Neurospora crassa OR74A: one gene and its partners. The protein of the gene in region 1 binds, or shares a complex with, the protein of each later gene. Links are inferred from orthologs where the notes say so. Each region holds a gene or a part of one and is shown on either strand. Other genes may lie near its edges. The genes, in order: NCU10747, NCU02808 and NCU04063.

Region 1 (10,568 bases):
TAAGTTTTCTTTTTGTCTCCGCTTTCCATCTGTTAAAGAATTCCCCGTCTTTTGCTTTCCTGCCCAAGACCTTTCTGTCTCTCAATCTTCCCTTTCTCTTCACCGACGTTCAACTCGTAGCGGGCTTCTTCCTTATTGAAATCCAGGCCTTTACCTTTCCATAAACCAACTCAATCATCCCCGTCCCTCGTTCCTTGCGGCACAAGTTCGTAGACCCTAGTCCGTCTTTATGCTTTCAAGGCTTGGGAATATGAATGGTCTTGCTTGTCATCAAGCAGCCGTGGAGCATGAAGATGAGGACAATGGGGTGGAATTCGAGCGCGGTGCCCTGGAACATGGTACCCCACGGAAGTGAATCATGAATCCAGCCTTGCGACACCCAGTAGGCCATAATGGCGTCCAGACCGAGCGTCGTGGGGATCGGCGTGCCCTCAAAGTAGGCAGCCTTGCCGTTGGCGTCCTTCGGGATGGCGGTCGCGGTCACGTTAAAGCGGGCGAGGCGGGTGAGGCCACAGAGGATGAAGAAGCCAAGGCAGAGATGGTCGAGGGGGGTACGGATACCGATGGCGAAGGCGACGACGGCGGGTGCGACGCCAAAGGAGATCTGTTGGTTGGATGGGTTGTGAGTTAGAATGCTTGATGTCCCGGAGAGGGTCGGGGTCGAGGAATTGGGAAAGCGTGGGCAATAATGATGTACACGTACCAGATCAGCCAGCGAGTCCAGCTCTTGGCCCATCATGCTGCTCTTCTTCCTCCAACGCGCGACCTTGCCATCCATGAAGTCGAAAAACAAGCCAAAGGGGAGGAAGGCAAGCGCATAGTAGATGTTGGTCTTGTCGGCGGGGTCACCGAGGCAGTACCGCAAAGAAGAGAAGAGGGAGAGGATACCGCAAAGGCCTAGTAGAGTTGCAAAGGCGTTAGCATTCTGTGACCACGTCTTCTATGATATGCCAACTCGCGCACAAGTTGTGCGTCGATATCATCCTTGGGGAAAATCGCGGAGGTTGTGACGGTCTTGCTGCTTTGGCGCTTATAGCCCCAAAACCCAGCGTCACAAGCTATGCTAACCAGACAGAATGCGCGAAAGGATACAAGGAGACAAAAACTAACCATTCAATTCAGTAATGAGATCCGCGAGATGCATCGCGCGAATGAGAGAGAAGTGCCCCGCATCTGTAGAGAAGAGAATTTTTTGCTTGTCGTGAGCTACCGATTGACGCGCCATGTTAGCAACAGTTGTCTACCTTAAGCGCTCAAGGGCTTGCTCCTTTCAAACAGCGGATGGTAGATGATATCGAACAGGTTCGCATAAGGAAGGAAAACATACAGCGATCGAACTCGGCAGCAGCGGCGGAGGTGGAGTCGTCTTGGGTTGCGGCGCCATTGGCGACCGACGCATAGCTCGGCCGTTTCGACATGGTTGCGGTCGTAGAGATGGAGTGGAAAATTCACTTGGAATCTCGTGAATGGGAGAGATCAGATGGGTGTTGTCTCGTCGGGCGCTTGTCGTGTCTTTTATTTTTTCTCGGTTGGTTCTTGAGGGGGGAAAGTCGCCGGATGCAAGGAGGGTCCTGTAAATAAGAAGAAGAAAAAAAAAAAAGTTGATCAGCTGGTGCTCTGAGAGAAGGTGCAGCCTGCTAGTATTCAGTCGCCTCTGCATGCATGTGAAGATGGGATACCAAAGGGACAGCGGCAGGAGATGCTCACCAAAAGACTAGTTGAGGAAAGTTACTTTTACGGCCTTTTTCTTGCAAAGATGCAGAAGATGGGGAAGAATGTTTGTTGGTGAGGGGCTGGGACGAGTTTGAATGCCTCTACGTGACCACCTAGACCACGGCAGGACAACAACAAGGTGGTGGTATCCAAGTGCTTGTTGGTCACGGTGCCTTTCTGGTTTCGAGGTTCCCCCCTACGGGCAGTCCAGGTCAATGCTTCTCTGGAGGTCTGGATGAAGGGAATGACAGGGTCCTGCTTTTGTGGCAGGGGTCATGCCGTCATTCTGCGCAGCGAAATCTGGCCTTGGCGGGAGCCGGGGCGTCGACCGACTCGAGACCGCCTTCTCAAATCGTCCTTGGGCTGTTTGGCGGCCGCTTCTCTGCCGGCACGACTCGCTACCTTTACTTGACCGCCTGCCCTTCTCGTCCCGGCCGCGGGGACATTGTCCAAGATTACGTCACAAAAAAAGACGTGGTGATACAGACTTGTTAACCAACAACTTAAGCAAGGCTTCGAGACAATCGTCGATCGAGAGACCAGACGGATGGCGCGAGTCCTGCGCGTCATGACCTCCCAACACGTCTTTTGTCCTTGTTTCACTTTCAGTTTATCTTATTAACCTTTGTGTGAATGTGCTGCTTGGTTACTACCCGGCTTTGTCCAAAATCGAAACCCACATTCCGATCTTTGAGCCGTGACAAAGTCCTTTCCCCCTAACATCAAAACAGTTCGTCGCTCTACACTACGCACCCCTGGGAAATGACTGTACTGCAGAAACAACCCCAAGTACCTTCCCAGTTGACGGCCAGTCCACGAAGGGATGGATGTCTATGAACCGTTTCGCGATTTCACCTGTTCGTGTAGCTCCCTCAGCACACCACGCTCGGCAAGCTTCGTCACCCATTCATGAATTGCTGGCGTGTGGTCTTTTCTTCGACCAGGGTCTTCATTCTGAGCATCGCCGTCCTCGTCACCCTCCGGCCCAGACGCGACTTCTGTGTAGTACTCCGCCCGAATTTGCTCCTGCTTCTGGCGGAGCTCTGTTCTAAGAAGCAACGCTTCAGCCATCTCCATCCCACCCGTTTGTATATCATCTTGCAACCGACGAGCTTCTGCTGAATTTTTGATCATGAGTTTAGCTTCGTCAGTACTGAGCTGGAATTCGTCCAGCTTACTCTGATCGTTGAAGTTGCTGATATGGTCCTTGAACGAAGACGAGTCATTGCCTTCCTCGAACCAGGCCGATTCGCTTCGGAATGCATCATTGAGCAATTCCGTGCAATGGATGTTGACAGCGAGTTGACGCCGCAGTGCGGCCCGACGGTCTCCGCAAAGAGCGAGAAGGCTAAACGCCAACTGATCGGCCTCGTACTCCATCATCTTTTCTTGGATGACAGGTTGCGCTACACTCGTCCAGTGCGCCCCTTTCTCAAATTTGCCTACAATATTTGTTAGTCGCATCGTGTCTGAATTCTTTCGTTGAGTAGGAGAGACACACCGACGTAGCGGGGGTTAAACTTCAGCCCATCGAGTTCCCACACGCTACGGTCCCCGTGGTTTGGCACATATGCAACAAAGTGGTAGGCATCCTCCATCTCCTGCTCCTTCTTGCGGCGCGCTGTGGTTCTAGCCCGCTTTTTTTTGCTGTCCTCAACCTTGTTCTCGAGGGCCAAGGCTGCATTGAGAAGGTCCAGACGCCTGTTGAAACGTCAGCTCAAGCCGTTTATGCTCAGCCCTTCTGGGAAGCGGAATGCCGTACGTACCTTGCGAAATGATTATGAGCTACCCTGATCCACGAACTGTTACTGAGCAGGTGACCACGCAATGGCGGAGATAGCGGTCCAGATTCCTCCTTGAATTTGGATAGATTTATGTCCAGTGGAAGGTCTTGGGCGTTCATGATGATGTTGAATAAAGCGACTGTCGCACACGCGTTGTTGGTCGTCTGCCAACCAAGGTTAGCCACAGTCGAAAACAGAGGGAGGCGCCAAAGGACAAACTAATGACTTGCCTGGTTGGCGAACCATAACCCAAACTCCTCATCTGGCTCCAGATCTTCCTCCTCCTCTTCCATGACCTGGAATAGGAACACTAGGCCATACAGAGGTTCCCTACGCGCAGTCAGTACCTGTTGATACCCCTTGATGCAACATGGGAAGCGCCATCGACTCACGGGAGAAGGAGGAGCGATTCCTCGTCAACAGACAATACCTCCCTCACTTTTGCCTCCCGTATGCCGAGTAGTCTGAGAATACGGTTGAAGAAGACTGGGTCAGACTCTACGTCCGTCCAGCTTGGCCATTCTGCCAGCTCATTTTCTTGCCACGGTCCTAGCGAAGCCTCCAGGACGTCCATGGGCACGTCAAAGACTTCAGGGGCTGCCTTGCGCTTGGCACTTCGTCGGGGTCGAACAGCTGTCGTTGGCTCCTCTGAAGCGGGCGACTCCTTGAGCATCGATAATCGCTCGGGATCGGCTGACTCTTCCAGCTTTGCTGAGGCCTTCGAATCGAGTGACGCCCTCTTCCGGCTGGCCTTCACACCGGCAGACGAATTGAGTTCGTCGTCAGAGCTGAGTTCCGCATATCTTGTGTTTGGCTTGCGGGCACGCCCTGAGCGACGGGTTGTCGCCGGCTCACTATTTGGATCCATCTTTCAAGGAAAGTGTCGTGGAATGTACTTGATGGGTTCGACAAGCAGTAACCCAATCAAGCTGAGGGATGTATGTTGATAAGGCTAAAGAGGGGGGGGGGGCAGGCTGCTCGTCTTTTCCAGCTCTGGTTTTAGGGACAGTCGCCGTTTGGAGATAGTGTAGCGTGGGATCTTGCCTTGTGACTTGTAACCGTGAGACTCGGGATATGACATGCCGCGAACATTACAGGGAAGTCTGGTATGGAGGCTGTTTTGTTCGCTCCCAAAGTCGATGGGTGAATAAGGTAAATGATCAAATCTGAGAGGCAGTTCAAGTTGATGGAGGAGAGTACGCCGGGGATGTTGTAAGTGACTGCACCAATAACTCGCTTGCAATCAGTCCGATGAAAGTTTGGTGGATCAGCTCTTGGGTCGAGCCCAAACCGGCAGACTAACGAGCAGTGGATGTAGTGACGATCTCATGCGATCAGTAGCGACAAGATGGTGAGGTTGTAAAGAGAGAAAGAAAGACGGCCTTGATGGAGGTCGGTGTTATGTGTGTAAGTGCCGTCGCAGGCGCACACAGACACTTGGGCAGCTGCTACACTACATCCGGCCGGATACTGTGTAGTGTTAAGTATGTAGAGCCAGGTAGGTAGTAGACGGGAGGTACACTACCTACCTACCTGATGGCGGACCACCACTCCTGCAAGTGTCATCAACCTACCGTAGCATTTGTGCACCCCGGGTTTCACGGGAGCAATTTGAGCATCAGGTTCAAGTCTAGACACGTTTCGGATCCTTAAAGACGGCTACGACGATCTTATGATAAAGTGCTGCCCATCTTTGCCCGGTGAGCTACATGTTGCTCGACCTCTTTTGTTTACTTCCCCCTCCACTTTCGCTCAATACCTGGGTACCTACGTATTGTCCCATGCACTGTCTGACTGCTTGAAACAGCTGAAGGCAGGGGACCAGGTAAGCTTCAGAAAGCACTGACCAACAGAAAGATGGGGAAGGTTTCCCCATTTCTCCAATCACAATCGTCTAAACAGCCATTGGCACACGCTAGTAGGCCAGCCAAGCAGCACTTGCAGTGCGGGCAGCGACTGCAAAACCTCAAAGAGACCACAACCGCGTCTTTGACGTGACTTGTTAGTTTCCAGAGTGTTGGGAAATTTTAGGCCTGTCTCTGCCTGCCCGCAAACAGGAAGAACAAGAGGAAGACTGAGAATGCCTGTTTTGATGTCGGCTCTCCATATCACCACTACTGCCAACGACTGATTAACCACGCCTCTCTCTCCCCTCGTGGACCATTCATTCCTTCCCGTCCTTCGGCGATTGATAACAACGACAACGACGACGACGACGATAGCTACGAAAATCACGACGACAACCACAACGTGCACATTGTTGCGCCCCGTGGCCACTACCAAGCCGTCAAGCCTTCACAGACTCGGCATGCCATGGCAGGCAAGGACTCTATAGGCGGCTTTCCCATGGCCGGACCACGACGACCCGAAGCTGCTCCCGCGAATCGCGCCCGAACAGCAACGCCCAATGCCCTCCCCGTCGCCCCCCAGAGAAATGCACCAGCACCAACAGGCCCAGGGCCAGTGATCCCGCTTCACGTTATCGATGCGCCCACACAGCGCCTCTACGCCGTTGCCGTCTACGCGGCTCTTTTTGCGTGGAAGGTGTACGACTGGACCCAAGTGGTGGAAGAAAATACCGAGTCTTTCTGGCTGTTCCTCAAGTGGATCGCCCTAGACCTCATCTATCTCTTCGGCCTGCCCGAGCTTAGGATACCATGGCTCGAACTCTCCCAGTCCTTCGTCGTCTTCGCCTTTGTTGCCCACGCCTTGGTTGACTGGATGCTCATGTTCAACATCGGCCTCCCGTGGCAGACATGGCTGTTCGGATTTGTCAAGGTCTTTTACGACCGGGAGCTTGCCATTACCGAACATCAAGTCAAGGTGTCCAGCATCCTCTACAATCACTCCCTCCTCATGGGTAGGCAGATTATCAACATTCTCCCAGAAGGGTAAGTCATACCAAGCAAGAGCACTAGTGAAAAGGCCCGGCAAAGCTGACCATTCACCAGCTCTGTGGTGCTCAACCCCGAAAACACCCCGTACTGCATTGGAGGGGACACCAAGGTTGCCTCGATCCCTCTGTTCTTCAATGCGACAACTCCCATCGATGTCGAGATCATCCGCACCGACCTCGAGACCAACGAACACGAAGTCATCAAGTTGACAAGAAACCAGCTCAAGGAAATCAAGAATGAGGTCAAGAGGAACGCAGATGACGAGATCTTCACTGTTAAGTACAACTTTCCCGTCAAGAAGCCTGGTGCCTATCGATTGGGCAAGGCGCTTGACGAGTATAAGCTTGAAGTTCATCGCAGGACTGCCCTCACCTTTGTGGTCCCTTGCCCTCGCGCTAGCGTCGAGGTAGTCTCCTCGCCAAACCGCTGTGTCGGCGAGTTGTCTGATCTCAGCCTCTTGGTTGATGGCACGCCGCCACTAAAAGTCATCTATAGCCGCACCATCAACGGCAAAGACCACAGCTTCAACATCCAGAGCTTGCAGCCAGAGGGCTTCTCTTCTCCGCTCCTCGGTGCTTCGCGTAGTCTTGCGAGACTCATTGAGGATGATGACGTCTCCTGGGCTCGAGCTCAACGGGTCCCCGTCAACCTCAATGAATCCATGAACGCTGGTGGAGTCTGGCAGTATTCCGTCGATGAGGTCCATGATGCGTTCGGAAACGTTGCTAGGTACACCGGCCATGCTGACGACTTGGATCCCAAGACAAGGCCAAAGCATCTGGTGCAGAACCTCTTCGTCAAGGAGCGACCGCGTGCGCGTCTTGAAGGGTGCGACGTTAGAAATCCTCTCAAGGTTGCCAGGGGCGGTTCCAAAGATCTTCCAATCAGATACGAACTTCCTGGCCCCGTACCCGACGACACTACGTACACCATCAGCTGGCTATTCTCGCCGATTGACACCCTCACCAAGAGCGGTGACCATGGGGATGTTGTTTCTGTTGGCACCTACGACACCAAGAATGCCAGGGACCGGCCGAGAATCGCTGCGCCTGGTTTGTATACCCTCAAGTCGGTTGTTGCCGGACAATGCGAGGGAGAGGTGCAGGAGCCGTCTTCTTGCTTGCTGCTGAACCCTCTCGAGCCCAAGCTCACGCTGCGCTCGGAGGAGATTCCAGATACTTGCGCTGGAAATTCCATTGGGTTGCGCGTCGACATGGACCTCATTGGTACTCCACCCTTCAACGTCAGATACGAGGTCATTTCCAATGGGCAGCGTTCGGTGGAGCGTATCAAGGTTAATGGCCTACGTTTCCAGCAAGAATTCATCCCTAGAATTGCCGGACATCACAAGTACGTGTTCACACATATTGGCGACTCCATCTACGAACCTCAAAAGCTCAGCGGGCCCGAGTATATCCTCGAACAAGATGTCAAGCCAGCAGCTTCTGCCAGCATCATTCACAGCACTGGTAACATGGCCGCTTGTCTTAACGACGATGTCTCGGTGGATGTGCAGCTTCAAGGCGACGCACCATTTACGCTGGAATGGGAGATTATCCATGACGGCAAGAGAAAGCAGTACAAGGTCAAGGATATCCAGACGAACAAGTATCAGATCAAGACGGGCTCCCTTGCTAAGGGCGGCGAGTATACTCTGGCGTTGACGAGCGTCCAAGACAAGAGAGCATGCCGTAACTTTGTGCAGGATGAGGTCAAGGTCTCAGTGCGCCGCCAGAACCCAAGAGCAGCGTTTGGTCTTATCGATGCCAAACGCAGGACCATGGCAGTTGAGGGCTCGACGGTCAAGCTGCCGCTTCGCCTCACTGGAGAGGGCCCATGGAAGGTTTTCTACAGCAATGTCAACGATACCTCGAGAAACGCCCCCCGGGTCCTGGAAAAGACGATCAAGCACGACAATGACTTCCTTGATGTTCGCACCAAGGGTATCTTCCAGATCACAGATGTCTGGGATCGACAATGCCACGGCATTGTTGATCCGAAGGCATCGTCTTTTGAAGTCGACTGGTTCCCTCGTCCAGAGCTCGCCATTGTACAGTCTGCGCACGTTCAGCCAGATGGCACCAACAGCTTTGTTGTGAGCGATGTCTGTGAGGGCGACGTATCTGGATTTCAAGTTGCACTCAAAGGTAAATCTACTATCAGCCGCCCCATCAGGCACATTCCTTGGTTTCCCCACAGCCTGCTAATGTCTACACAGGAACGCCTCCCTTCCATGTCGAATACCAGATTCGCCATCAACCTGCGTCTGGGCCAGCTTCTATCAGTAGGAAAGATTTTGAAGCTGCCCTCGGCAAAGCTTCCGTCCCTGCAGACACCTCCAGGGCGGGCCAGTACACGTACACGTTCAACTCACTTTCTGATAACCTCTACATTAATGACCGGACTTTCAAGCCCGTGACTGTTAAACAGAAGGTTAATCAAAAACCCACTGCCGCCTTCGCCAAGCCCGGTCAAACCTTCAAGTACTGCAAGACGGACCAAGGTGAATCCGAGTCGATTCCCATCACTCTCAACGGCGTCCCTCCCTTCAACCTCGAGTTCGAAATCAGACACCAAAGCAGCCCGATTCCGGAAGTGTACCGTACGCCTGCAATCAACTCCAACTCGTACGAGATCCAGATCCCGCGTCACCAGCTGCGCCTTGGAACCCAAACGATTCGCATTCGCAGCGTTCGCGACGGCAGCGGCTGCCACTCGATCTCCGATTACACATCTGCCCACAGGGATACTCCCGATGGCAAGGCCCACTCGGTTCAAATCCAGCTCTTTGAGGCGCCCACCATTTATCCTCTCGAGACTCGCACCGACTACTGCGTCGGCGAACGTCTGGGGTACTCCCTTGCTGGTGCCGCTCCCTTCGAGGTTTGGTATACCTTCAACGGCGAGGAGTCAAGGGCCAAATCTCCCACCACGACTTTCCGCCGTATCGCCGAGCACCCCGGTGAGTTCACGATTACCTCGGTTAGTGACCGGGCATCCGAGTGCCGCGCTCCTGTCAACATCTCCAAGACTATTCACCCTCTCCCCGCGGCCCGTATTTCCAAGGGCAAGCAGGTGCAGACGGACATCCACGAGGGTGGCGAGGTCGAGATTCTTTTCGAGTTCTACGGAACCCCTCCGTTCGAGTTCACGTATACTCGCAGCACCAACCCCAAGAAGAAGGGTGAGCGTGCGACGGTGTTGGAGACCAAGCACGATATCAGCGAAGAGTATAGCAAGGTCATCAAGGCCAGCCAGGAAGGTGCATACGAGGTCGTGGCCATCAAGGATCGGTTCTGCGCGTTTTCGACGCAGATGCTTGGGGTGGAATATGTGGAGGGTAAGGATGGGCGGTTGCTGAAGTACCAATGATCACCTTCTTTGTGAAAATCAGAAGACAAAAAGGAGTAAGGCATGGGAGGTGGCAAGAAACGAAAAGGGGTCGGACATGAAGGGAGGAAGGCGGAGGAAAGAGAATCATGCAGGGAGTCTCAGAGAAACAATGCTGGGTGACACGGTGTGCTCTGGTCGGCTGGCCATGGCCACGTATGGCATGAAGTGGGCTGTTGCACAGCTGGAGGAAGCAAATCAAAAAAATTAACGATGGAAAAGAAGATGAGAGAGATAGGGTTCTAGGGATGGAGATCTGGTTTTCGTGTTTTCGTTTTTCTCTTTTTTTTTTTGTAACGAATTACTACCACTACTCTACATCCACTTATGTGTTTTTCTGTAGACTAAGAACATAGCATGGCGTTTTCTGTCTTTATGGGGAACGAACAATTACCACAACTCACGAGAATGAACGGAATAGGATATGATGGGAAGGCAGAAAGGGCGGGCGGCAAGGAAAAGGATTAATGAAAAGACTTGAAATCATGCTGAATCAGTGTTTCTGTTTCCGTGCGTCCATTCCTTGAAATCGAAAAAAAGTGTTGCAGTATTTCAAACGTGTTGTGTTGTCATATATATACCTTTCCATATTTCTATCCAATCCGTATCTTATGCAATGCTCTCTCTCTCTCTCTCTCTCTCTCTCTCTCTCTCTCTCTCTCTCTCTCTCTCTATACTTCTTGCTGAATTTTTGAATGGTCCACTTTCCTAAAAGCGACCAACTGCGCGAATGCGGACTCCATCCAGACCGGCCTATCCCATTCAAACTTTGTCCCGTATTCCT
Region 2 (10,280 bases), on another chromosome or scaffold:
AGTTTTCGTCAGGTCATCCCAAGCAAGTGTACACTACGCAATTGGATCACCATCGCCTACACAACGTAATCGCATTGACAACTAACTCGACGATTCAATAGAAAAAGGTAGCTTACACCAACTTCCGCGACTGTCCAACTGTTGTAACACATCTTCTCCCATACATACACTCAACTCTTTTTAATCAAATCACCCATCAAATCTGTCTTCTGGCACGCCAACCTAAGAAAAGAGACCCCATCCGCTAAAGCTTAACCCACGTCACTCTAGTCCAACCAAACCACCAAACCAACCATCAAGATGCTCCGCACCACCGTCTCCAAGCTCGCTCGCCCTACCGTTTCCAGGGCGTTTGCGACCACCTCCCGCGCTCTCGCCGGTGAGACTGGTGCTCCCCCAAAGACCGGCGGCCCAGGGTGAGTTTTTGTTCCGCCGCGTTCCTCGCACGCGCACGTGGATACGCGGCGACTCCAACTAGTTCAAACCCGCTGACATCATACCCTCCCATTCCAGTGACGCTTTCCAGCGCCGCGAGAAGGCCAACGAGGATTTCGCTATCCGCCAGCGCGAGAAGGAGAAGCTCCTCGAGCTCAAGAAGAAGCTCGCCGAGCAGCAGAAGCACCTCAAGACTCTTTCTGATCACATGTAAGAACGACCCATCAGCCAGCCAACAGCCACCACCGGCGCATAGTCGCCACAAACACACCAGGCCGGGCGCGCATCATATGGGCCGTAGTCAGCTACGCACACCATCATCAGAGGAAGCCGGGCCTCGATTCTCCTTCACAAATAAAAGAAAGTTCTAAAAACAAGGCAGTTACTAACATTCGAGAAACAGTGACGAGATCACCAGGGAGCAGGGCGGCGAGCGCAACTAAACGAACAACAAGCAACAATAACAACCCATAAACATATTTTTTTTTCTTCTTCCTCTGCTTATTATCATTCCCTCTCGCGACGTCCCATCGCTACACACGCCACTACGCCTACGCAGTATGAATGCAATGAAATGAGAAGGGGCCAAGGATTTGGGGGGGTTAAGAAAGGATGGGACTTGGGCTACGGGGACGGACGGCGCGCCGAGGATGAGTGTCATCTTACACATATCTCAAACTTACCCCTTGTAGCAATATAGCGAGCAAAGCCATGATCGATGATCACAAAATCACGACCGGGGGACCTATGGACCTCACAAGTTGCATCAATGGGACGAACAAGTGTCTAAAGCAAAACCGTGACAGAACCGAGCTTATGAGAAAGTCCAAAACGAGTCGAACAGTTCCTGTGCTGCAGTAGGGGCGATATTGGGTTCATCGGCTTGCCCTTGAACCAGAATCTCATAATGCGGCTGAAGAGTAATGAAGTTATCAGGAAAGCAAGCCAGCCTACGTAGTTCCGTAACTAATTTTTTTTTTCAAAACCTAGTTACTTTGATCCAGACTCAAGACTCTTCATTATCTTAATGCCACTTACATGGAACATGAAAAAGAAAGCAGACGGGACGGTACTTTACTGAAGTATTAACAACTTCAAGTCCGTCTTATAAGAAATTTCACTGATACCCACCGACGTTCTGAGTCACAACAATGATGCTCTACGTCTCGGTTTTCAAAATGAAACTCCTGGCAGTCGGTACCTATATGTACAGTTCGGCAGTCCGATATGTATGATATTCACTCGACATCATATGAAGACAATATATCGAAAAAAACAGACACATGAACTCCCTTCCAGATGTAATGAACCCCTTTTTGGACTGTGGCCATTACCTTGAACCCATCTTGTTTATTGATTTTTGCTTCCACAACCTAGAATAAGTGGCCTAGCCCAGCCTAGCATAGCATAGCCTTTTTTCTTGTCTCCTAACCCATCCCAAAGCCAGACAGACAGACAGATCTCAGCTACGTAAATTAACATCATCGATCCCCCCCCATCCACAGCCACGATACATATACAAGACGTTTCAAATCATACCATGATGGTCTTTCACAGACTAACAAAACAAACCAACAAACCAACAAACCAACAAACTAGGGTAGGTAGGGTACTCAAAACTGAACACACACACACACACACAGACAAGTTCGCCGCCATCCGATTCTTCAGCCTCTTTCTCTTTCTCTTTCACTCATACTTCACTTTACTTTAGCTTCCTACAATACAGCATCATCAAAGCCCATTTATTTCCCTTCCCTTCCCTTCCCTTTCCCTTCACCTGTTCACACCACCGGCCCTGTACGAGCGGTAAAAGCTCTGAGCGGCATCCGACTCGTTGACGCCTTGGTGGGCACCCATGCCGCTGGTAGCCTTTTGGGCAGCGGCCACCTTGGCTTGGAGGTCGGCGGCGTTTTGGTCGATCCACTGAAGCTGGTGAAGGTGACCGTTGAGGACACGGACGATTTGGCTGAGCTGTTGTGTTTTGTTTATCGTGTGCGTTAGTGATTGGATAAAATAAGGGAAAAATGGAGAAAAAGGAGAGAAAAAGGAGGAGAAAAAAAAGGGAGAGAGAAAAACATACCGGATCATCAGGCTTGCTCCCCTTGCTCAACGTGCCCGTCATATCATTTATCTCCTTGATCATCTTGGCCAAATCCTTGCCCATCTCATCCAGCCTATCCGTCAGCTTCTCGGCAAGCTTATACGTCCTCTCGCGCTCCTGATCGGGGCCCAAGCCGTCGCCAACACCGCCAGCAGCCTTTGACTCGCCGCCGGATCCAAGCTGCTGCTTCTTGAACAACTCCTCCAGCTGTGCCTCGTACTGGTCCAGCCACGCGGTCAGCTCGTCCTGCTGCGACTCGACGCCCGAGAGCTGGCGCTCGATCTCGTTGCTGGCCTTTTCGGCCTCGTACGTGCTGGTGTACAGCTTCTGGATCTTCTCGCCGTTTTCGACCAGGAGGCGGTCCCATTCGGCCACCTTGGCGGCTTGCGACTTGAATTCCTTCTGGTACTTGGAGAGATCGGTGGCCCAGCGGGTGATGATTTCATCCATGGTCTTGTTCTTCAACCGCGGGAGAGTAGAAGTGGGGCCGGTGGTCGTGGAGGCGAGGTTGCCGGTGGTGCTGGTGGTGCCGGCGGCAGTAGTGGTGTTGTTGGTGGTGGTTTTGGAGGTGGTGGTGTCCGCAGGCTTGGCTCCTCCTCCAAAGAGACTGCTGGTGGTTCCAGCAGTGGCGGTGGTGCTCCCACCGGCAGTGGTGGTGGCCGCTGTGGTAGTGGCGGGCTTGGTGGTGGCCGCACCGAAGAGGCCGCTAGTTGTGGTCGAAGACGAAGGAGCAGGCGCCGTGGTTGTGGTCGTCGAAGGCGTAGTCGATCCAAACAAGCCTCCTGATGCTGGGGCAGTAGAGGTAGTGGTAGCATCCTTGTTGGCGCCGAACAGACTGCCGGAAGCAGCAGTGGTGGTAGAGGTGGCAGGAGCTGAGGTAGCAGGAGTGGCGCCGAACAGACCACCCGTAGCTGGCTTTGCGGCTTCGGCCGGCTTGCTTGTGTTGGCACCAAAGAGGCCGGAAGTTGCTGGTGCTGTGGTGGTCGTGGTCGATGTCGTAGCCGGGGTTGTCGAGGCTCCGCCAAACAGGCTGCCACCGCTGGTCGCAGGCTTCGCGCCAAAGAGAGTAGATCCGGAAGTGGCTGTCGTCGCGGGAGTTGTGCTGGACGCAGGCTCGGCTGGCTTGGCGCCAAAGAGACCAGAAGTGGTGCCAGAGGTGGTGGTCTCGGCTGGCTTCGCTCCGAACAGAGATGGTGTTGTTCCCGAGGTGGGGGCAGGGGTTGTGGTCGGGGTACTCGAGGCTCCTCCTCCTCCAAAGAGGTTGCCAGAGGCAGGCTGGGTAGCACCAAAGAGAGAGGGCGCGGCCTTGGAAGCGTCAGCAGCAGGTGGTGCACCGGCTGGGGTAGTCGATCCTAGTCCAAACGAGGTCTTAGCCGGCGTCGTCTGAGAGTTGGCGCCAGCTCCGAAGAGACCACCGGTAGCCGGAGTAGTAGAAGCATTGTTTCCAAACAGACCTCCCGAAGGAGCTCCTGTTGCGGGTGTGGTGCTGGCCCCGCCACCAAACAAGTTCGAGCCACCAGCGGCGGGGGTTGTCGATGTGTTGGCAGTGGTGTTTCCAAACAAGCCTGCGCCAGGCGTCGTGCTGCCTCCTCCGGCAGTGTTGGAAGCAGAGCCGAAAAGCGAAGGTGTAGTCGAGGTGGTATTGGCTCCGAATAGTCCTCCAGGTTTCGAGGCATCTGTAGGCTTAGCGCCAAACAAGCTACCGGCTGGCTGTGTCGAGCTCGCTGCTGGGGTGCCGAAGGAGGAGGCTCCGAAGAGACCACCGGATGTAGCAGTTGTTGCTGGTTGGCCCGAGGCCGCGCTGGAGCTTGGTGTACCGAAGAATGACATGATTGCGATTATGTGAGGCTGACGATATGATGTCGAGGTTTCGGGGTTGGTTGGTTGGATGGATGGATGAGGCGTTGGTGGTTGGGTAGTCGTCGTCAACCAAAATCTAGAAAGTCAACAACAGCGTCCCACTTCCCAAGGCTGTTGCGGTTACCTCAACAACAACAGGGAGCGCGCGGAAACCCAAGCAACGATTCGTTGAAATGCGAAGAGGAAGATCGGCGCGATCTCGGTTTTGAGTAAGTGATGCAATGGTCCAGCCGTGGTTATCGGATCGCGAGTTTTGGACGTCGGTTCGGAATCCGTTTGGTGGAGTGGACGTGGACGTCGTTTGGGCGTGGATTGGAGAAAGCAAAGAAAGTGTGGCAGCGTCACTCAGTCTCTCGGTCTCTGTTTGTCAAGGTTCCGTCCGTCGCGACAGGCCTTTCCACTTTTTTGGAGGTGCTGCAGCGCGCCTGGGCTTTTCCCCTTCTGGGGACCCGGACGCGCACTCAACAAGGCCAAGCATTTCCCGCTTATTGGAGCACTCCAGTCACCACTGCAACGAGTCAGCCCCAGGTGAAGTGGTCAGCCTCACCTCACCTACCCCGTCTAACATTTTACTAGCAAGTGCCAAGCGTGCACGGCCAATCAATATGTGGCTTGACGGCAGTTCGACAACTGACGGAGAACTTGAGCAATGACGGGGCGGGCCTCATAAACTGAAGCGAAGTGCTGACTTTCCACTTGCCGTGATGCTCTTCTGCATTCTGACTGGACCGTCTGGTTGCAGCACATTACGCAGCGAGTTACCATACAGTTTCCGGACACGGCGGTACCTTAGTACCATACCGTACCGTACCGTACCGCACCGTCCCAGGGTAGCCGAGCAAGAAGCAGGAGCCCCGTTCAGTCGTCTCGGAAAGCTTGGGGTGGTGGTTACCCCATGTTCTAGATTAGGCCATCGTGAGCCCATCCTCTAGACTAACTCTAGGCCATCCGGAAGCTGTTCCTTTCTCTCGTCTCTCTCCACACACATTGCTGTCCATCGTCTGGACATTGGGATGCCACAAGTCAGCCGCAACGTCTGTGTGCATACCCAATCTTGATTCAGTTCACTTTGACCTCAGGCCATCTGCTGCGTGCAATTGACCTATCTCCTGCAGAGTATAAGAGTCGGCTTACTCCCGTCTTGTTATAGGACACTCCAGTCCTGTCCCTCACAGCAGTAAACATACTGTAGCACCCCACACCAACTACATCACTCCTCAGTCCTCACCTTGGCCCCCCGATCCCCGATCCCGATCCTCCCATATCCATATCCATATCCATATACATATACATACACCTATCTTGCTTCCTACCTACCATATACATTTCTGCGCTTCCTTCAGCACTCACCATAGTCGGAAATCCTCTTGTTCTTTGATCGTATAGACCGCCGCGACTACGCTTCGAGATCACAATGGCTTCGCGCAGGAACAGTCTGTCGCCTCCCGAGAGGCAGGGGACCATGGACCCGGGCGCTCATGAGCTACCTGGTAGGTTACAGCTGATGGGGAACTTGGGAGACCTCTGGACAAAGTCGGCACATGGATATCCAACTAACCATTCATTCTACGCGACAACAGGCTCCGACACCGAAGATCACTACTCCGATGCCATCTCTTCTCCCAAAGCTCCCTCCTCGCCCATCCCGCGAACAAGAGTCGAGAGAGTAGACGACAAGCCGGCGTATGGAGAGGTCCCGGGGACCAAGGCGTATTCTATGAGGGAAGGGGACGCGAAGCCGGATGAATTTGCCATTATCCCAGACCCAGACACCAAGCTCTCGACCGAGGAGCATGACCAGCGCCGGCCGTCCACTCCAGGCGGGCGCCCCATTCCCATGACCGTAGTGGAGGAGACGCCAGATAGCACTGGTGCCGTCACCCACCATGAGATCGAAGCGAGGCACAGGGTTGACAGTCCTCCCGACGTGCTTGTCAAGGCGGATGGGCAAAAGGTCGAGCATGAGAAGGGTGGTGACAATGGTACGGATGCGTAGCACTTCTTTCTAGCCACACACACACGCGCGCGCACACACACACACTTTCACAAGCACATGCCTGTTTGTTTGTTTTTTTTTGAGCCAGCAAATTATACAAGATCTCCTTTGTATTGACTTTACGTTTTCCTGCGTAGATACACCAATACCACCTGCATTAAAGAGTCCCGCCTCGATCCATTCTAGAGACTCGTCATCTGATCTAGACCAGCCATCCCCTGACTCGCCCTCATTGGGGCCCAGTCTTCTAGAAAAGGAGGAGGCAAAAGATGACGCGCACGACAATGTCGTACGAGACAACGCCAAGACCGCCGACGACGAAGACGCCGATGAAGATGAATCCAAGAAGGAGGAGGAGAATGTAGAGGTCAAGACTGAGCAGGCTCAAGATGGAGAGGTGGAGGACGAGAAGCACGAGGAGGAACAGTCAAAAGACCGCGACACCGAAGAAGCATTGAAAGGAGACGAGTTCGAGGATGCCAGCGAAGAGCTTGAGACGCAAGATACAAAGGAAGAAGACACAGAGGACCACTTCGACGAGGCAGAACCCAGTCAAGAGAACGAGAAGAAGGTCGAGCCAGAAGAGGACAAGAAGGACGATGTCAGCTTTGACCAGAAAGAGGAGAAGCCTGTTGAAAAAGATGGGTTCGACAACGACGACGACGACGGATTTGCTGAAGCAGGGGATAAAGCCCCCGACGATGACGGGTTTGGTGATGACGACTTTGGGGACGACTTTGCTGAGCCAGCTCCGGCTGGCGCCGATGACTTTGGGGATGACTTTGACGACTTTGAGGAGGGAGCCGAGGCCAACAACGATGCTGACTTTGGCGACTTTGACGATGCCGGCTTTGACGACGATGACTTCCAAGAAGCCGAAGGGTTCTCAGCTCCAGCACCTGCTCCTCAGCCGCAACCACAACAACCGCAGTCCTCATTATCCTTCGTAAGTCCCCAACCCAGTTACTCCCTCTACGTCCAACACACACTAACATATCCCCTAGCAAATACCCGACTTCACCCACCTTTCCGCGTCCGAGATCCTCTCCCTCACTTCCCCTTACCTCAACGCTCTCTTCCCTCCCTCCCCCGACACCGACGGCGACGACTCCTCCTCCTCCCCCATCCCCACCCTCAATGTCTCCAACGGCATCACCGACCCCATCTTCCAACACCCCCGCTCCGCCTCCCTCTGGTCACAGCTCGTCGCCCCTCCCCCACTCCAACCCCCCGACTGGATCCGCTCCCGCATCCGTCGTCTCTTCCTCGTCTCCCTCGGCGTCCCCGTCGACCTAGACGAGATCCTCCCCGCTTCCAAACAAAAGAAACTCGTCTTGCCTTCGTTAGGCGACCCCGACGCAGCAGACGACGAACGCACAGGTCGTTCGCGACGCGCTAGCTCTGCCGCCGCTGCCTTCCGCAACAACCAAAACAGCCAAAACCTTACCACTACTTCGACTTCGAATTCAAGCCGCAACCCATCCAAGCAACCACCCGTCAACAAAACCGTCGCCGCCGCCGCAGGATCAAACACAGAAGGAAGCGCCAACCGCTCTTCCAGTTCCGCTAGGAAGGGACCACCGCCCGAACCGGTATTCGACCTAGTGGCTGCCAAGCAGCTGTGCGAGACGACGGATGAGGCGCTTTCGGGGATGACGGACAAGGAACTCAAAGAGCATGTTCAAAAATTGGAGGCGATGCAAGGGGTGGCGTCCGAGGTGTTGGTGTATTGGCAGCAGAGGACGGATGAGAAGATTGGTGATCGGGAGGCGTTTGAAGGGGTGATTGAGAATCTGGTGAAGCATGCAAGGAAGGTTAGGAAGTAAGTAAGTAAGTACGTGAGTACATAAGTCGGGGTGGGGGAGGTGGGTGTGATTGGGTATATATATATGTGAGAGTGTGGGTGGTTGGTTTGGTTGGGGATCAGGGAATGGAGGGGGGAAAGGAAAAGGATGATGATTATATTCTATTCTTCTATTCGATGTACAGGAGGTGATTACTTTGATAGACTGAGACTTGTTATAATATCAGGTGTTGTAATTAGCGAAGGACAAGAAGGTTTTTTTCGGGTGTGGTTCAGTTTCAAAAGGGGGAGGGAATTGTGATAGGTATGATAGACTATCAGGTCTAGAAAGAGAAAAATGAATAGAGTTACGTACGGATACATACTCGACTGTGTCCCATGAAGAGTATTGTTAGGTATATTCTTGGACTCTTTCCATCTATCCGAGCCATTACCATAGCCTAGTATAATGGTAAGATGGTCATTACGTCGAAGACTCATGGCGGAATCAATGTATTTATCTTCTCTACTTCACTCTTTCAAGTTTACTCTTATCATCACCACTGGCTAATAAACTCAATCCAAGTACGTCGGACCTTGACAAAATCAACGTAATGGCATCTTCTCTACCTCTACCACTACTTGGTAAACCCAAAGTACGTCGGTACCAAACATAACTTTTTGTACAAAAACTCCTAATGGTCCGATAATGCGCTTCTCTTCACGAGTTCCTCTTTTCACAACATTCCTCGCTCATCTTCTTCAACGAATCGTATGACCAGTCTTTCTACTGTCCTCGGCCCCAAGTTGGATAAAAATAAGACCATGTACAAATTTCACAAGGCTAGTTTTTAGAAACACAGGTCCCGGTTTCCCCACGCTACGCCGTTTCCTTCCGTGTCCGCGCCCAAGTTTCCATTCTTTGATCATCCTCCAACGACTTTTTGGATATTCATCATTAGAGCAACCAAAAATTAACAACCTTTTAATTTTCCTCCTAATCAAGCGATGTATAAACTTTGGATATTTTCTGGTCGCTCGCTTAAGAGGTAGAAGGCTCGAGGGTGACACCGCTGTTTTTTTTGTTAGTGGTTATTCAGTGGTGATAAGTTATGGGGTAAAGAAATAGAAAAGAAAAAAACTTACGCAGCAATGGTAGCCCAACCGATAAGACGCCAGTGCTTCTCGATACGTCTGGAAAGGGCAACCTTCTCGCCGATGCTCGTGCAGGCAGGGGAGGTGAGGATGAGCTTGGCGGCATCCTTCTTAATGGCGGAGACCTTGGCACCGGTGGAGGTGGAACCAATGTTGACCATGATGACTTCGTTCTTGGCAAGCTTGTCGACCTTGGCCTGCTTGCCGTCGGCGGTGCGGACACCGAGAAGGCGGCGGAGGAGGTAGAAGTTAACTTCGATCTCGGAGTAGATTTCGGGGAGGCGGCCCTTGAGACCGAGGACGAAACCGACCAGACGATCGGCACGGCAAAGGGTAGGATCGATGCGGGTACCAACACCAATGAGACCACCGGGCACGGCGTACTTGAGGTCGTTGGCCTCGGAGTTGAGGGAGACAATCCTGCTGAAGATGGGAGTGCACTTGAGGTCGCCCTTCTCGTCACGGGTGACGATACCGGGACGGATCTCAATCTCGTCGCCGAGCTTGAGGACACCGTGGAGAATGGAACCACCGGCAACACCACCCTTGAGCTCGTCGATCTCGGCACCGGGCTTGTTGACGTCGAAGGAACGAATGACAATCATCTGGGGGTCCATGGAGAAATCCCTGGGAGGAACGGGGATGGTGTTGACGATGGCATCGTTGATGGCGTCAATGTTGAACTTGAGCTGGGCCGAGATGGGGATGATGGGCGACTTTCCGGCAACGGTACCACGGATGAACTTGAGGATGGACTCGTAGTGCTGCTTGGCGGCCTCCTCGCGCATGAGATCGACCTTGTTCTGGAGGATGATGATCTTGTCGAGCTTCATGATCTCGATGGCGGCCAAATGTTCGGAGGTCTGGGGCTGAGGGCAGGATTCGTTTCCGGCAATCAGGAGGAGAGCGGCGTCCATGACGGCGGCACCTGAAAGCATAGTGCTCAT
Region 3 (9,680 bases), on another chromosome or scaffold:
TACAATTTGATATGGCGTTTCGAATATTCTAGATAGCGCATCCAAGGTAAGATCACGCATCAATTAGCTATGAAAACGCATAGGAAAGTTGACACGAGGTCTCGAACTAACAAACAAACCAGTACTGGATTGTATATAGAAACACGCCAAGACCAAGCTTAAACCTCAATCACACCCATTCGACCAGGTCGATGTTCCATGCCATACAAACCAAGAGGTAAGACGGAACGATTATACCCTACACATACTCAAAAGGGACAGGATCAACAAAGTCGTCCACGATGCCTTTCAAACTTGATTGTACACGACAACAGACGCGCTTGAGGCGTTACACACAGCAATCAGATTAACGTGCCCAAATAGGAAAGTTTTGGAGAGAGAGGGCTTGGAGAAGAGGTTTTTATTTAGCCATGTGACGCATGGCGCATGGAGCCCGGGCGGTTTTGATATGATTTAAGGGGTGCCGAGGAACGCCACGGTATAGTGCCTATGTATGGGTGGTTCAGCGCGGTTAAGTGAGTACTACACTCCATGTCAAGTAAACTGCGGTGGGCTGAAGATGGGACAAGCCGATAGGCAGGCGAAGGTATTGTTCGTCTCGGTATGTATATTTAGTTAGGGACGGTATCTAACAAACAATGATTGTCTAGAAAGGTGAAAGTATCTACGGTATGTGAAGTATAGGATCGAATTATCGGGATCTTAGAAAAACCTTATCACCCGGTTCATTCACTCAGTGACACGATAACTGATCGCAGACAATGAGTGGTCGAATCAAGGTTTTTGTCATCCTTTCAAAACATTTCCCTCCCATTGACGCTTTCATCTCCAACCCAAAAACTTCCCGGTAGAGAAGGCATCTTATCTCATCACTCTCTGATATAGAGATCACATAGGTACCCAACCGTTCTCTACCCAGGGTATCCTCCTTCTTCCCTACTTCGAAAATGAATCCCCTTGATGCTCAACGATCCATAACCTCCCAAAACATATCCGTATTCAGCACCACCTTCTCCCCCATCCAAATCGCTTTGTCCGTATGATTCCTCGCCTCCTTCTCCGCCTCACTGATCTCTCCGCCCTCACTAATGGTCTTCTCCGTCGTATTCGGATGAATCAACACGCTCAACGGTCCTCTCCAGACCGCCAACCAGCCCACAAAGGCACCAAGCTGCGCCGGCGTAAAGATGTTCACTTCAAACATGCCAATCGGGTGAGGACCGACGGGTTGGCTCCAAAAGGTGTAGATGCGTAACTCGGGGAACTCGTGTCTGATGCGGGAGTGCAGCTCGGCAGCGTAGCGGGCTTGGGCGGGGTGGTTGGGGAGGTGATAGATGTGGACGTCGCTTTGGGGAGTGTTAGTGAACTTACAAAGGGAGAAGGGAAAGAGGGAAAGAAAAGGCAACGAGGGGGGTATAGGCTCGTACAAGGCACCTCGTCGCCCGTTATCTAGAGGCTCGGGAAACTTTTCGTAGGCGCTGCTGAGCACGCCGGTTTGGTTGTTGAGGAGGCTCTTGCCGTCTTCGGCCTTTTCGGTGGGGAGGGGAGGGGCATTTTCGTAGCCTTCTAGGGGGGATTTGTAAGTTGGTCTTTGAGAGGGCATGTTGTTGTTGTTTGTTTTAGGAGTTTAGAGTCTAGAGTCTCTGGCTGAATGGGTTTGGGGTGAGCTGGTCGGGGTTGATTCTAAATTGAATTTTAGGGTACTGCGTCAACTCGGATGTGAACTGAAGTAAATAGGTGAGAACTATGTTAGGGTCAAGTTGAAGTCAAATATGGTGTCCGAATAGCTTCATCGACGTGATTCTCTCATGAGTAAGCATTACGAAGGTGACAATACGGATGACAAATAATGGCGGTCGTTTAAATGCCACGCTATGGGGTCCCGGCATGGCATCATTCCAGCATCCCACCCGTGGCCGAATGGCGATCCCGTCCGGGGAAGCCCCACCCCCGCACGGCGGCATCCCGACTGGACAGTCGGCACACGGGACCCCACGAGTTCCATGCCCCTCCGCTCACTTGGCCGGGAATGGCGACTCGACGAGAAGCAAAATCAGTAACCAAAATTCCAGTCCGAGGTATTCACACGTGTCAGTATCAGTTATGTGAATCCACGCTAATATGAGAATGATAAGCCTCCTGCTTGTTGTTGTGAGAATAATTATAGTACAATAACAAATGCCTATTACGCCGGTGTAATAGTAATAATACTCCGAAACAATGCTGACATGTAACAAGTAGTGAGAGAAAGTATGAACCATGCGCCTGCCTAGCCTCCTGTGGCCTTCTTGAACGCCATGCCCAAACCCTTGGTATCGGAACCTGACCCAAGCCATGACTGAAGCAAATCCTTTTCGTACCAAACAGTTCCATATTCATGTAAACCCTTTCCTTCTATCCCAGCAATGTGAAAATACGTCCCTTGGAAACCAGTCCATGCTCGGAAATGCGCAGCAACAAAATCGAATGCTCGACACGACATCGTGTCGATGTCCCCTAAACCGTAATAAAGCCGTAACAAAAGTGAGAAATCATGTAACAATACGATGTCGCGCCTGCAATGATAACAAACTGGTCGTCCCAGTCCCCATACAGTGATTCGATTTAACCAGCAGTGAGCCAAGGTCGAAACACGGTATCCTCGACTTTGAGGTGCCGAAAACTTAAGCGGAAGAAGCAGGCTCAGCGGAAGCTATGCCCTTGTCGTTCGCATCCAAAGAGCCAGAGACATCGTCGTTGGGGCCAAAGTCGGAAGGGCTAGTGCTAACCTGCTCGCCAGTCGCCACATCGACAAGCTTATCACCGTCGACCTCGACCTCTCTGTTGCCGATGCGACGCATCAAATCCAGGAAAGTCGACTTTTGAAATTTCTCGGACTGGTTGTCGGCGACCGAGGTCAAAATGGCGTTGGCTGCCTTGGCCAGCTCCTCGTTGCCCTCGCGACGACGAGCCTCGGCTTCTTCCTTGGCTTCCATCTCTTCAGCGAGGTTCTCCAGATCAGCATCGATAGTGGCCATTTCCTCGTCGGTGGGGGGGCCGACTTTGGTGTTGTTCTCGGCGCTCGGACCGTGCTGCGCCATCCACTCGGCCTCGGCAGCCTCAAACTCCTGCTGAGCTTGCTGAGCCTTCTCGGCCTTTTCCTTCTCGGCCCACTCAGCAAGTTCTTGCTCAAAGGAAGACTCGTCGTACTCGCCAAAGGCTTTGTTAAAGGCTTCGATGTCAAGTGCCGACTCGACGTGGTCGTTGAGGCCGAACTGAGGCTGCTGATGAGTGAAGTTGTTCGTGGCTGTGCCATGCATGACAAAAGGATCGTCCATGGACAATCCCATTCCCATTCCCATTCCCGTACCCACACCCATTCCCATACCGCCGAACTGGCGAGTGTTGTAGGCCATATGGTCGTCCTGCAAGCCCATCATGGAGTTGTGGGTTGCAGTAGACATGGCTGCCGGCATGGCTTGAGGTGACATGGCCGGGGCCGCGTGAGCTGTGTCCTGACGGAGCTGCATGCTGGCGAACTGGTCGACCCAGCCGTGGGCAGCGGCACGGGAGGAGTGCATGGGACTGGCCGTAGCCGGCGCACCTCCGACCGCATGACCAAAGACACCAGGCGCTGGACCAGCATGAAAAGCCGGGACGCCTGGGTTGTTCAGGAACGTATTATTCGCAAGGCCGAGGGAAGGACCCGGGGCGTCGAGCATAGGGGCTTGCTGAAAGGTCTCAAAGGCACCATCAGCAGCGAAGGAGGGGCGGTTTCTGAAGGACTGGATGGGTTGTTAGCACCGAGTTACGCTGGATATTCTACGACAAGACAAAACAAAAGAAAGCGATCATATCATACAGCACCGGCAGCCGAGTTGGGCGAGTTGACCAGGCGGTCCTGGTGAAGAGTGCGGTCGCGATCAGCGTGCGCAAGAAGGTTCTTGGCACCGTTGGACGGGCCGCACATGCTGTCAGACATGTTGAGCGAGGTTTGACTTGTTGGAAGCAAAAAGGCGAGAAGCGCGGGTGACGGTAAGTTTCGAGAAAGAAATTACAAAAGTAGAAGGTTTTATAAATAAAGAGTGAGGAACGAAATGTCCTTGAAGAGAGTATATAATTATTGTAGAGCGAGGAAGACTTGGATGAGTGAGCGAAAGGAGAGTTGTAAGTTGTAAGTAATGTAGATTAGTGGCGCGAAAGTAGAAGCCGAGGTTCTTTGAACAGCGCGATAGTAGTCACCGAACCCGCCGGTATCTCAAGTCTTCAACGCTAAGTATTTGGAGAAAAGTAGTTGGAGAGGGGGGAAGATGGAAACGAGAAAAAAAAGAGTAAACAACGCCGGACCTAATACCACGAAAAGGACGCGACTGATTACTGTGTGTAAAGAAATCCTTTTAGCAAGCAAACAAAAAGCGTCGCTGATTTTGAACAAGTAATTCTGGAAGAAGGGTCAAAATGGTCAGGTCTGGTTGAGTGAGATTCCATCCCAACTTTTTGTGACGGGAGTGAACGCTGCCACGGCACTGGCGAAATTCCCGTCGGGGTAGCCATGCGCTCACACGCTATCATGTGCACGGCATGTTCAGTGGACTTTTACAGCGGGACGGGAGAGCCCAGGCGACGCGTGGGGTCGTCAACGGGCCCCTGCCTCACCTGCCCCACCTTGGTTGTCTCAACAAGAGTCCACTTCGAGCCTCCGACCTGGTTACAATAACGTCACACCACGGTGAGCCTACGAGGAAACCGACAAAGGCTCCACTCACCTTGCTCACCTTGCTCACCTTGACTTCTTGCCAGCTGGACCACATCGCTCGACAGGGATCACTGCGCAAGCGTCAAGTGGAAGCTCCAGCGCAGCAAGACGGGTTCACCTATCGTGTCGCCTGGGCGTCCACTGCCTGTAGCTTGCAGCTTCCATTCCCAATGCCCGTCCGTGGTGATCCAACTTAACAGCAACTGAATCCCCAACGACGGCCCTTTTTCCTTTCTACTACTCTGAGTAGTGTACTTTATAACTCCAGTCTGAATTCATTCATCACCCAAAGGACGCAAATACAACTCCATACAAATCTATTTGTCTTTTCCACAATCTTCAATACTCCATAATTAATCAACATGGTACGTCCTCTTACACCCCCAAAGCTGCCGGCGGCGTCCCTCCCCCTTACTTGGCTACCTATCCACTAACATGAAGCTATCGCGACAATGACAGACCGCAGGCGCACAGGTTATCGCCAACTCTGGCCACGATGATATGATTGTACGCTGAACATCGCCCCCTCGACGTTTCCCGACAACCATCCCTCTGTTTCTAACCGACCCTCGCAGCACGATGCAGTTCTCGACTACTACGGCAGGAGGTTAGCGACATGCTCCTCGGATCGCACCATCAAGATCTTCGAGATCGAGGGCGAATCACAGCGACTTGTTGAGACATTGAAGGGGTATGTTTGCGATGGGCTACAGTCACCAAACAATATGGACAATGGGTTAACCTCCCTTCTTCCGACAGACACGATGGCGCAGTTTGGTCCGTAGCATGGGCGCACCCCAAGTACGGCAACATCCTCGCCTCGGCAGGCTACGACGGCAAGGTTCTCATTTGGCGCGAGCAAGCCGGCAGCTGGCAGCGCATCTTCGACTTCGCCCTACACAAGGCTAGCGTCAACATCGTGTCCTGGTCTCCCCACGAAGCCGGATGCCTCTTGGCCTGCGCCTCTTCGGACGGCAACGTCAGCGTTCTCGAATTCAAGGATAACAGCTGGGAGCACAACATCTTCCACGCCCATGGCCTGGGCGTCAACTCGGTCTCGTGGGCCCCCGCCACCACCCCCGGCAGCATCGTCAGCAGCAACCCCGGCCCCGGCTCGACGGGCAACAGACGCTTCGTGACTGGCGGTTCCGACAACCTGCTCAAGATCTGGACCTTCGACCCCGCGACCAACGGATACAAGCTCGAGCGCGAGCCCCTGGCGGGTCATACAGATTGGGTGCGCGACGTTGCGTGGAGCCCGACTGTGCTTCAGAAGAGCTATATCGCAAGCGCCTCGCAGGACAAGACGGTGCGCATCTGGACGAGTGACGCGGCGAACCCGGGCGAGTGGAAGTGCAAGGTTCTCAACTTTGATGCGGCCGTCTGGCGCGTTAGCTGGTCGCTCAGCGGAAACGTGCTGGCCGCCAGCAGTGACAACAACAAGGTCACACTATGGAAGGAGAACCTTAAGGGCGAGTGGGAGAACGTCAAGACCATTGAGGAGTAAAATCACATGGGAATTCGGTCACGTTATGATGATGATGGGTGGCGAGCGTTAGCATAATATTGGTAGGTAGGATATCTACTCATCATCCAGAGTGGGCGTTATCGGGTAATAAATAAGGGAGGCCAGCGAAAAGGAGCAGGCTTACCTTCGGTTTCACAAGAACATATCCAGGTTGGCTTCACATGAACCGCTCGGGACAATGAAGAGATCATACCGAGTTTTATCTTACACTATCACATTACCTCGGGCTTACGGGGAGTACATTTGACCCAGTACATCCCACCTCCCAAGTCATCAACGCGCCTTATCCATCTTCTCTTCCAACCATCCCAACACAATCTCCCTTCCCCTCTCATCCAGATCCCCAACACCTTCCAAATCGCCAATCGCCATGTCCTGATCGTCCACCACGCCCACGTCCGCCACCTTGACCCTCCTCGCCGCCTCCAGCTCCCAGTGGTGGAGGTCGATCAAGTAATCCTCGTCCCACTTCCGCCGCTCTTTGAGTTCCAACATCTCAATGCTCCGCTGCATCAGCAGCGCCAGTTCGTACGCTTGCGTGCGGAAGCTGTTCTCGCCAGCGGTGATGGCGACCGGGGGTTTGCGGTGTTTTCGCGTTTTGAGACGAGGGCGGGGTTTCTTCTTTTCCTCTGCTTCGCCTTGTGCTGAGTCGCCCTCTTCGTATTTCTCTCCCTGGCCTTCTTCTTCTTCTTCTTCTTCCTCCCCCTTTATCTTCTTCTGCTTCTGCTTCTGAACACCACTAAGTCCCTTTTGATTTCTGTTCCGGGCCGCGGCATCAACAACCCCATCATCCTTCCCCCCCTCCGACGACCCAATCTTCGCCAAAGCATCACACTTGAACGGCAACTCCGCCGACGGCGTCTCATACAACAATAACGTATCCGGCAGCTTAAGCATGGAGTGCCTCGGCGGGAAATGCACATAGCTCTTACGTGGGAACTTGCCAGGTAGAATCTCTACCTTGAGAGTTTGTTGGAGCATGTCTTCGGCCGCTACCTCGTCCGGCTCGCCTTCGGCGTCGTTGATCATCGACATGTGCATACGGTAGTGCTCCGAGTGCTCCGAGTTGTCGGGATCGAGGTCGTCGGTGGGGTTTTGGCTGGCTGGGAGGGGCGACGGAGCCGGAGGTTGGTGAGGAGGGGGAGTAGAGGGGGAAGTCAATGGGTCGTGGGGTTCGCTGGGGACGTCCGCGGGGACGTTGATGTCGCCGCTGCTGACACCATTGGCGCCGGTACCGGCACCGGTAATCAATGGCCCTGGAGGTGGCGGAAAAAGCCATTCAGGAACATACTTCTCATCAAAAGTCGTCGGAACAAAAAGTCCCGCCGTGTGGAAAAACAGACAAGCGCTAGCAAAGCTGTCAAACAGTCCCGACGGCGAGCCAAAGAGATCTTCGAGCCGACGCTGATAATGGGCAATGATGGGTGAGGTGGCAGCCGGTCCTGCATCTTTGTCGAGGTCGCGGTTCAGCTTGTGCAGCTGCTCCTCGATAAGGATGCGGTCGTCGCCCTTGGGCCGGTGGATCGGGTGGTCAGGCAAGAAAGTGGTCCAGTCGTAGATGCCGTTGTAGGCGAGGAGACCGCGTACGGCCATGCGCGCGTGTGGGTACGACTCGGTGAGAGCCAGCCCGGCGGCCAGACTGGCGCCAAGGTAGGAGCCGCAGATGTAGACGTCTTTGCGTTTGGGGTATCTTGGTTGGAGGTTTTGAATGATCCAGGAGTAGCCAAAGAGAACGTCGTGGATAGGGGTGGGCCAGTGAAGGGGAGTTATGCTGATATCTTCTTCCTCTTCCTTGGGTAGTCGCTCTTCTTCTTTGCTATTAGGCGTCTCGCTCGATTGATATCCTTCATCGTCAAAATCGGGCTCTTCAATCTTTGGCTTGAGTTTTGGCTGTGGTCTGTCGTCGTATAAGCCAGACCATCTATAGTGAATGACAGCGGCCGAGTATGTGTGAAGCCATGATGGGAGTTGATAGTTCGGGTCAGTCTCGTCCCGAGCAGCAAAGGGCGGGATCCAGATGATTAAAGGATCGGTTGGCGGCCGGTCAGCGACATTGTACAGACTGAGCCACAGATATCAGTCTAAAATTGGCCTTCGTCACTCACAGCTCCCAAGGAGACTGTTGATGTTATGTTGACCACCTACCTGACGGTAATTTCACCAGAAGAGGCGCATGGAACAGTATAGCGTTCTATCGAAGGCTCAAACGGGGGACTGCTACTGTAGAATCTTCTATGGGACGCCTGGTGCGAAAATTTTGGTAAAGCGACGGTGATGCGCCTAAGTCTCAGTGCTAGAGTCCATCTGGACATCTTCTACGGAGTTGCCAGTGTATGATGAAGTTCTGGCATAGTTTCTTTGTCAGACCCTTTCTCATTTCACGATTTTACAACTGAGTAAGAGGCCTTGGACACTGAACGAGAAATTCTTACTCGTCGGAGCACCAACTTATCCCTTCGTCTCTTTCCTTTTCTAGATGCAGAAGAATACCCCATGGGAGGTTATGACTTGCCAAGCTGGATAGTCAACGTTGATGTCACGATCAAAGCTGGGTGTTGTTTTGGTGTTGTGCTGCCGCCAGAAATTGTTAAGAGACGACGACCATAAACAAATGGAGATACGTACCTACAGCAAATCACTGTCTGGCATCTGGTGGCAGCTGAATTCTATGGAAAGTGGGGCCATGTGACCCTCCACAGAACAAGCTCTCGTTAAAACCTTGGCAGAACTTGGCTTTTAGCGATCACCGCAGCCCTCCAGAACATGTTCTTGCCCAGGGCAGCACGTCATATGATGGATGGGGACGGGAATCAACGTGACAAACAACCCGACATTTCTCTTTCAGCTTGGAAAGGGCTGGCCAGGTTATTCCAGGAAAGTATCAAACCAACTTGTCTTATATCTTTACTACCGTACCTACCTAGGTAGTCCCAATGAACCACCACCGACATTCATTCATGCTTCGTCCTTGCCGCCGTGATGCTACGATAATTCGACGATGACATTCAACAGCAAGCGTCCATAGGGGAACCCATCCCGGTACCCCATGACACTTCATTTTACAACTATCATCATTTTGTCTTTCTTTTTTTTTTTACTGTATCTCTCTTATAATCGCATTAATACTACCTATCTGACAACATGCAGGACGCTGGTGGTGAGAATGTGGAGGAACATCTTCAAGAGGTCGATGCGCAGTACAAGGCCTCACTTCCCAAGCTTATGGGAGAGGACCAGGCCCATCGAGATCCCAGGTAAGTCACATCAGAGTCGTCCTTGGGTACTCAGTTTGTATACGAGTATATACTGACGGTCTGGACTTTGTCAAGTCGATGGTGGTTTGCCTCGGCTGCTTTTCCCATGGTCGCAGGCACACTTGGGCCCGTTGCAAGCGCCTTCAGTATCTGTGCTCTAGTC

The links.
Region 2: NCU10747 (region 1) and NCU02808 share a complex: the UniProt entries of both Schizosaccharomyces pombe proteins name them as parts of the nuclear pore complex. The link is inferred for Neurospora crassa OR74A from reciprocal best matches to the Schizosaccharomyces pombe genes pom152 and nsp1.
Region 3: NCU10747 (region 1) and NCU04063 share a complex: the UniProt entries of both Schizosaccharomyces pombe proteins name them as parts of the nuclear pore complex. The link is inferred for Neurospora crassa OR74A from reciprocal best matches to the Schizosaccharomyces pombe genes pom152 and sec13.

Annotation. Positions count from the first base shown.
Region 1 is NC_026507.1:2,686,542-2,697,109, reverse strand, and holds NCU10747 (hypothetical protein), read left to right. Parts: upstream 1-5,462; 5' UTR 5,463-5,810; coding exon 5,811-6,388; intron 6,389-6,448; coding exon 6,449-8,541; intron 8,542-8,612; coding exon 8,613-9,766; 3' UTR 9,767-10,275; downstream 10,276-10,568. Other genes in the region: NCU02381 (phosphatidylserine synthase), read right to left, coding at 236-604, 704-897, 1,111-1,206, 1,328-1,418; NCU02382 (hypothetical protein), read right to left, coding at 2,545-3,155, 3,215-3,414, 3,480-3,661, 3,728-3,827, 3,890-4,365. UniProt on the Schizosaccharomyces pombe protein: Functions as a component of the nuclear pore complex (NPC).
Region 2 is NC_026501.1:9,048,693-9,058,972, reverse strand, and holds NCU02808 (hypothetical protein), read right to left. Parts: upstream 4,977-10,280; 5' UTR 4,370-4,976; coding exon 2,519-4,369; intron 2,410-2,518; coding exon 2,212-2,409; 3' UTR 1,862-2,211; downstream 1-1,861. Other genes in the region: NCU02807 (uncharacterized protein), read left to right, coding at 301-416, 514-645, 839-878; NCU02809 (hypothetical protein), read left to right, coding at 5,814-5,889, 5,980-6,381, 6,533-7,341, 7,400-8,221; NCU02810 (eukaryotic translation initiation factor 2 gamma subunit), read right to left, coding at 9,221-9,251, 9,325-10,280. UniProt on the Schizosaccharomyces pombe protein: Functions as a component of the nuclear pore complex (NPC).
Region 3 is NC_026506.1:2,618,407-2,628,086, forward strand, and holds NCU04063 (protein transporter sec-13), read left to right. Parts: upstream 1-4,875; 5' UTR 4,876-5,097; coding exon 5,098-5,100; intron 5,101-5,194; coding exon 5,195-5,242; intron 5,243-5,310; coding exon 5,311-5,426; intron 5,427-5,494; coding exon 5,495-6,242; 3' UTR 6,243-6,536; downstream 6,537-9,680. Other genes in the region: NCU04061 (hypothetical protein), read right to left, coding at 965-1,346, 1,428-1,603; pex20 (peroxisome biogenesis factor 20), read right to left, coding at 2,664-3,764, 3,842-3,961; NCU04064 (hypothetical protein), read right to left, coding at 6,537-8,325, 8,409-8,575; NCU04065 (potassium channel protein), read left to right, coding at 9,405-9,517, 9,593-9,680. UniProt on the Schizosaccharomyces pombe protein: Component of the coat protein complex II (COPII) which promotes the formation of transport vesicles from the endoplasmic reticulum (ER).